Callithrix jacchus: one gene and its partner. Each later gene encodes a partner of the first gene's protein in a complex. Links are inferred from orthologs where the notes say so. Each region holds a gene or a part of one and is shown in the gene's direction. Other genes may lie near its edges.

What was found.
Region 2: the proteins of EDAR (region 1) and EDA are in contact, whole or in part, in a crystal structure (PDB 7X9G), measured with the Homo sapiens proteins. The link is inferred for Callithrix jacchus from reciprocal best matches to the Homo sapiens genes EDAR and EDA. Residues at the interface, in NP_071731.1 of Homo sapiens: Glu55, Pro56, Tyr57, Leu58, Lys78, Ile86, Arg88, Arg89, His90, Asp92, Glu94, Gly95, Phe97, Val134; in NP_001390.1 of Homo sapiens: Gln256, Ser258, Ala259, Gln261, Asp265, Asp273, Arg289, Tyr310, Tyr311, Lys340, Thr341, Tyr343, Ser370.

The regions. Positions count from the first base shown.
Region 1 is NC_133515.1:20,220,784-20,224,283, forward strand, and holds part of EDAR (tumor necrosis factor receptor superfamily member EDAR), read left to right. Parts: intron 1-2,643; coding exon 2,644-2,966; 3' UTR 2,967-3,500. UniProt on the Homo sapiens protein: Receptor for EDA isoform A1, but not for EDA isoform A2. Mediates the activation of NF-kappa-B and JNK. May promote caspase-independent cell death.
Region 2 is NC_133524.1:66,882,667-66,886,835, forward strand, and holds the start of EDA (ectodysplasin-A), read left to right. Parts: upstream 1-1,369; 5' UTR 1,370-1,556; coding exon 1,557-1,946; intron 1,947-4,169. UniProt on the Homo sapiens protein: Cytokine which is involved in epithelial-mesenchymal signaling during morphogenesis of ectodermal organs. Functions as a ligand activating the DEATH-domain containing receptors EDAR and EDA2R. May also play a role in cell adhesion.

The DNA.
Region 1 (3,500 bases):
AAGCGATTCTCCTGCCTCAGCCTTCTGAGTAGCTGGGATTACAGGTGTGCACCACCACGCTGAGCTGTTTTTTGTGTTTTTAGTACAGACAGCGTGTCATCATGTTGGCCAGGCTGGTCCCATACTCCAGACCTCAGGTGATCCACCCATCTCAGCCTCCCAAAGTGCTAGGATTACAGGCACAAGCCACCATGCCTGGCCTTACTGGTGTTATCATTTTGCCAATTCGAATGAAGTATAAAAACCTTACCTTTCTTTATGTCCCTTTATCTTCCCTGTTTATAGTAGTTGTAAATATTTCCTCTATACATATTTATAACCATATAAATTGCTTCAACTACCTAACATAATTCAGAAAACTTAAAAAGAGGAGGAAAGTCTATTGTATTTGCCCATAGTTTTGCTCACTATGTTCTTTCCTGATGATTCAAGTTTCATTCTTTTATTTCCTTTCTGTTTATAGAATTTCCTTTTGCTTCTTTTCGGGTAGGTCTGCTGGTGATAAATTCTTAATTTTTCTTTGACTTGAATGTCTTGATATTCTCATGCATTCCTGAAGAATATTTTCACTCAGCTCACTGCAAGCTGGTCTGCAACGCTGGATTGAAAGTTCTTTTCTTTCAGCACTTGTAAATACCATACTACTCCTCTCTGGCCTCCAGATTTCTGATTATATATCTATTGTCATTCTAATTGTTTTCCCTCTCTAGGTCAGACATTGTTTTCTTTGGCTGTTTCTAAGACTGCCTTTTGTTTTTAGAAGTTCATTTGTGATGTATTTTGATGTGAATATATTTGGGTTTACCCTGTTTGGGATTTGCTTAGCTTCTTGAATCTGTAGACTTATTTCTCTTGATAAATTTGGGGAATTCTAAGACATCATTTCTTTGAGTACTTATTTAGCCCCATTCTCTTCTTCTCTCCTTCTAACACTTCATGACGCAAATGTTAGCTCTTTTGTTATTACCCCACAGTTCCCTAAGGCTCTGTGTTTTTCAGTTTATTTTCTGAGACTGAGTAATTTCAACTTCTAATTTTCATTATCCATCTCACTGATTCTTTCCCCTGTCTTTATTTTGCCATTGAGCACATCTACTGAGCTTTTTATTGTGATTATTGTATTTTTTTAGTTAATATTTTCATTTCTTTCTTACGCTTTCTATATTTTTGGTGAGGATTTCTGTTTTTGCAGTTGTTTTAAGTGTGTTGATAATTGCTTGTTAAAGCACTTTTATTATGGCTTCTTTAAAACCGTTTTCAGATCATCTAACATCTGTCATCTCAGTGTTAGTATCTATTGATTTGCTTTTTTCACTCATTTGACATCTTCCTGGTTCTTGGTATGATGAGTGCATTCACTTTGAAACCGGTGCAGTTTCATGTCCTGATATAAAACTCTGGGTCTTACTTAAGCCTTTTATTTTAGCTGGCTCCTTTCGATAGCTGTGTGGCAGGAGAATGAGGGTGCTGTCTTGCTATTGTCTGGTGAAGGTAGATGTCCAAATTCCCCACTCACTCTTCACTGACATGCAATGCGGGCTCCTTTTTACTGCTATTTGAGATTTGGGAGTATGGCTCCCGACATGGTCACCACAGGAACAGGGGAGTTGTTACCAGCTGGTTGATGAGAAATTCCCAGTTCCCTATATGGCCTTTCCTGACACCACTTGGCACAGTGTTACAGCCTGGTGAGGGTGGAAGTCTAGGCTCCCCACTCAGCCTTTGCTACCCTGGATGGAATAGGGACAGTTTTTTCTGTGGTGTTTGGCTAGAATAGAGCAATTATTGTCTAAATGTTTCATGCTTGCTAGGCTGCTCTTTTCCTAGTGTTCTAACTAGAGAGAGAACACTTCTGTTGGGGCTGTTTTTGTCTGTGCTTGCTATTATTTCTGGATTTCTGGACTTTTCTGCCCCATGTCTGGAATATATGAGGCAAAAGAAAACCTAGGGAACTTACCACCATCCCATCCATATCGAGGTCCCTAGTTGGTCTGTCTTCTCTCCACTTTTCAGAGCCTTCTTGGGTTTGTTTTATTCAGAATGGGAGGATAAGGGAAAATTCTATCTACTCTTATCTTCCAGAAGCAGCAATATCAACTTTTTAAATGCTCCTAGGTGAGTCTAATGTACAGTGAAGCCTGAGAACCATCAGACCACTGAGTTGACAGTGACTTGGTTCAGATAACCCAAATCTCGGGCTATCACTGAGAGCACCCACCATAAAGTTGACTACTGTTCCCTAAAGAGACATGATACCATCCCTTTGACCCCTTCCTCAGCCCAGCCCCATAGGAGACAGGGTTACCCAACTAAGGATAACTTGTCTTGAAGTCTTTGAGAACTGCTAAAAATGGTCATGAGGGGATTACTATCATAGTCAATACAGCAGTCATTTTCCTAGTGGGGAAGTGGCTACTACTGGGGTTAGGGTACATGCACAGCCTTCTCTTGGGGCTGGCACTGTTCTAGGTGTTGTTTGCCTTAAGTTATGCATTTGTTTTAGGTGGCTTTCTGCATGTGTTTTGTTTTACAATTTTAAAAATTTTCCAAATAATTTTTATTTCATTTAAATAATTTTTCATGGTGTTGACCTTCTATTGACTGTGACTTGCAACATCTAACTGTGGCCATTGGTGTCTGTAGGTCTCAGCCCCACAGAGCTGCCATTTGATTGCCTCGAGAAGACTAGCCGAATGCTCAGCTCCACGTACAACTCTGAGAAGGCTGTTGTGAAAACGTGGCGCCACCTCGCTGAGAGCTTCGGCCTGAAGAGGGATGAGATTGGGGGCATGACAGACGGCATGCAGCTCTTTGACCGCATCAGCACAGCAGGTTATAGCATCCCTGAGCTGCTCACAAAACTGGTACAGATTGAGCGGCTGGATGCTGTGGAGTCCTTGTGTGCAGACATACTGGAGTGGGTGGGGGTTGTGCCCCCTGCCTCCCAGCCACATGCTGCATCCTGAAAAGCATGCTTGTGGGCTGTCCTGCCAGGGCAAGCCAAGGATCTAACGAGGGCTCTGGAGCTGTGAGTGGTGCCAAAAACTTCGAAGAATCAAGGGTTTTGTGATATGTCATCCTATGCCTTAGGATGTTCAAGGAGGCAGACAAAATGAGGCCTGTCTTTTAATCTAACCAAAGATAAAAGACTAGATCTGGAATACTTTCAGATGCTTGCCTGTACTTCACGAGGCAGAGTCAATATCCACTCACTCATTGCACAGTGAGACAATGTTGAGAATTCAAATGAACCAAACCACGTGGGAATGACAGAAGTGAAGAATCTGGCCCCTGTTTTTAAGGAGTTTGCACTCCAGTAGAAGACAGAAGGAACATATGTTTACAAACCACTTCACTGGAAGACATCAAACAAGCTGAATGAAGGGGTGCTTGGAAAACGTAATAGAAGTTTTCAGGGGGAGATGACTCCCTACTGGGACGATGAAGGATGGCATCCGAGTGAAGAAGCAGCTCAAACATTTTGGTAAAATAGCTACAAA
Region 2 (4,169 bases), on another chromosome or scaffold:
CCTCCTTGATGACACTCCAGATGCCTGCTGCAAGTCAATAAAATTGTTAATTATTCATTACTCAATTAATAACATGAGAATGAGAGTGCATAGTGACTACAAAGCATATATGTTTCCCCTTCTACAGTCATTTTGCTTTTTATTATCTCAGACTAGTTACTCTTGTCAATTGTGACTCTTGATTTAACTAATCCTTTCCATCCTTCATTTCAGGGTCTATTGTTCTGCTCTTTGCCACTTTTTTTTCTCTGAACCCGTTTGTGATTGGTGCAGCTGTTGAAGATGCTGCAGTTACAGCAGTGTACATCTGGAACATTTGGCTGACTTGTTGAACTTCCCCCAGGGAGTACTCCAGGAGAAGGATGGGAGGGGTGGAGAGGCCGGAACAGTTGCCTGTAAATAAAGATGCCAATGGTGTCTGGCTATTCTATGGACCTCCCTTGTAAAAATCCACCTCATTCTGACCCTCAGTTTCCTATCTACTCGCTGAAGGTATATGTTCTCTAATCAAAACTACTGCAGTGGAAGAAATCTATTCTGGCTGTGGATGCTCTCATACAGCATTTTCTGCATTGTACAGGGATCAATAGATATTTGTTGAGTTAATTAATATATCAAGAAATCCTAGGACAGTTTTACCCTTCATGGGACAACATCATTTCAGTTCCACTTGGCATGAGTCAGCTTCTCTGTCACTTAGATTGAGCTTTCAGAGAAGTCACTCCAGGAGTGAGGCTGCTTGAGTCCCACCCATTCCCATAGTTCCCAGGCTCCTAGGTCTCCTTTTCTTCGGGCGAGCCATTGAATTGCAAACACAGCAGGCATGGTTTCATTCCAAACCAAGAGCTGTTTTAATTAGTTTAACGTCTGTTAAACGCTTTGAAGATTGGAAGCAACAGATAAGTACTGGATGATGTTATTAACAACTGCAGTTAATTGCAAACATTTCTATTAATGCTAGTTTCTGCCTCCTTTTCTTTGCTCTACTTTCTTTCCAAGGTTCCCAAATTCTTAGCCTCCCCCTCCTTTCCTCCCAGAACTGGCGCTAAAGGGTTAAACTGGGGCGGAGTCTAGGAATGAAGGACAGCGTCAGTCACCAACTAGGACAAGGCAAGGGGGAAGAGCTGGGTGGGGCGGCCAGGCCGAGGCGAACTCTCACGCCCCAAGGCTCCCCCCACCCCCCCCCCACCCCCCGAGGCTGGAGGCCCGGCTGGAACGGTACGGGGCGGGGCGCCGAGGCAGGGCGGCCCCTTGGTTGGACGTCCCGGCAGCCGCTTGAGGGATGGGGCGGTGTCGGCCGGGACCTCCTCCTTCATTCCCTCGGCGGGCCGAGCCTCCCCTCTCTCCCGCCCCTCCTCCTCCCTTTCCCACCCCTCGGAGTGGAGCTGCACATGCGGCTGCTCCCTGCTCCGTCCCGCCCAGCCACCGTCGCGCAGGAACGGGTCCCTGCAGCCCCCAGCCGATGGCAGGGCAGTAGCCGCCTGTCAGAGGTCGTGAACGGCTGAGGTAGACGCAGCGGCTCCCGGGCCTCAAAAAAGTGGGTGTCTCTGGAGGCCATGGGCTCCCCGGAGATGGAGCGCAGGGAACCCCTGCCCGCGACAGCGCCGCGGGAGCGGGAGAGCCAGAGCTGCGGCTGTCGCGGGGCCCCTGCTCGGGCGGGCGAAGGGAACAGCTGCCGGCTCTTCCTGGGTTTCTTTGGCCTCTCGCTGGCCCTCCACCTGCTGACGTTGTGCTGCTACCTAGAGTTGCGCTCGGAGTTGCGGCGGGAACGGGGAGCCCTATCCCGCCTTGGCGGCCCGGGCACCTCTGGCACCCTAAACAGCCCCGGTGGCCTCGACCCTGACAGCCCCATCACCCGTCACCTTGGGCAGCCGTCACCTCAGCAGCAGCCGCCTTTGGAACCGGGAGAAGCCGCACTCCCCTCTGACTCCCAGGACGGGCACCAGGTGAGTAACCTAGTAGGGGTGGCGACGGCCCCCTCCCCTCGCGGGTAGGGCGAGGGCCCTCCACCAAAGGGGCCTGGGAGCACTCTGCCACCTCGACCCAATTTAGAGGGCAGGACCAGCGAGGGGCCAGGCGAGCAGTGGAGAGGTTGCCCAAGGCAGGTTGTCTTCGGTCCCTGGCCCAGCTAATCCAGACTCCCTGAGGACCCCTTGAGTTGGAAAGCCTAGCGCGTGCCCGCCGCCCCTGGCTGCGGGCTGCCTCGGGAAAAGTTGGCGACGCTCCCGTCGAGGAGGTGCCTGTGCTGCCCCCCGGCCGACTAACGGCTTGGCTCTTCTGCTCCTGATGAGGTTCTCTGCCCGCGGTGCTTGTTTTTTCGTGTCCAGAGCTGATGCCAGAACCAGCAGGCTCCGCTTTGGAGTTAGAGCTGTAAACAGCTGTAGTAACTGCTCCACGCCTGCCCGTTGAAACAACTTTTAACCGCATTTTCATCGCGGGTCCTTGTGTGCTGACCAGAACGTGGACTTGTTCACACTTACCTGCAATTTGAGACTGATTGTCCTCGGCGTTCTGGTGAGGATCAGCGCCCCTGAGGAATTCTGGTAGAAATATGCCGTCTTGCTAGACAACTTCTGAACAGCAATTTAAAAAATCTATGGAAGTAAAACTCACCCTTTGCATGCTGGTTCTGATTCTAAGCAGGGTAGGTGTGCAGTGGGAAGGGTGGGTGGGAAGTGCTTTTACTGCTAGCTTGAGACCGGGAATCTGCAAATGGAATAATTACTCAGGACTAGTACCCCAAGAGCACTTTGGGGTTTTTTTGTTTTGTTTTGTTTATTTTTGCAATCTTTATGGTGTTTGTGCCCTTATTACCAAACTATTAACTTTGGTGTTTGTTTTCTACTCTTTCTAGCTCTTTATTCAAGTAAATTTAGTGCACTTAACGTAAATATTGTCTTGGTTGCCATATGTGAAACTTAGGAGAAGCATCTAATGATCCTTTTGAGGTGGCTAAAGAATAATAGTAAAATTGTACCTCTTAGGGAAGAGAGCAAGTTGTACAAATAAGTTCCTTGAGGTGAGGGACCCAAGCCTTCTGTATTTACTGCCACATCCAGAGTCATTGTCACAACTCTGTAAACATTATTTCTACCACTTTGACCTCCCATCTAAAGTAGTACACTTGATAAAGGCATCACATTCAGGATAATAGTGTAATGTTAGGACTGATTCTTAAAACAAACAAACAAACAAAAAACCAACTATGTGCATTGTAAAGTTGCCCTGAGCCTTAAAATGTCTTGCTAGCACACTTCAATTTATATAACAGCTTATCGAAGAAGAGAATCAGCAGACATGCTTCTCATACTTGAAACTTTAAACACTGTAACTAAACGATAATTAACTAGGATTCTGACTCCTTTATTTATCTACTGCCACTCCCCTACACCCCAATGCCCAGTAGAAATATTTAGCAGCTGAACATTGATATTCTGTGAAAAGATGAAAGAATTAAACTTCTTCAGTCAAATGGTGGCCAAGACTTTTTGGCATTCCCAATGGACAGAGCCATGTTTACAGACTGAGGATTAGCAGAACAGCTGTACTCTAGGGCTTCTGTAATGGCATAAAACTCTTCCAGGTCTGTAATGGCATTTAGTTACCTGCCCTTTGTATGGCACTAAAATAGTTCTGTCTAGGTTTAAACACAGCTTCCTATCTTCTGTCCTTTATTCTTTCTGTTTTAATATTTTTGAGCAATAGAAGCAAGGATACTAGCTCTTTACATTTGTTGACATCAATTGGAATCCGTTTCCTAGAGTTATTAAGGGCTTATACGAGTTCATTTCATTTGATTCCCTTGGGAAACATAGGCCCTAAAGGGAAAGTGACTTGCCCAAGGTCACATAACTAGAGTCAAAACTGGGATGAAAGTTACTCTCTTAATTCCCATTTCAGTGCCCATTCCCCCAACTACCTCCTGGGACCTTTTTTGAGGGAGCAAGATGGAGCTCCATATTAGAACTTTTACAAAGTAGAGGGCTCAGATCTGCATCATTTTGTTCTACTCTACCTGTATTTTGACCATACTAAGTTTAACCATGTATTCCTTATTCTTCCTGAACTTCACTTTCAGATTTGGAGTATACTTTGAAGGAATTTTAGCCCAAATTCAACTTAAGTTTATTTTAAATTATTCAACTGAAGTTTATCTTATCTTGTATATT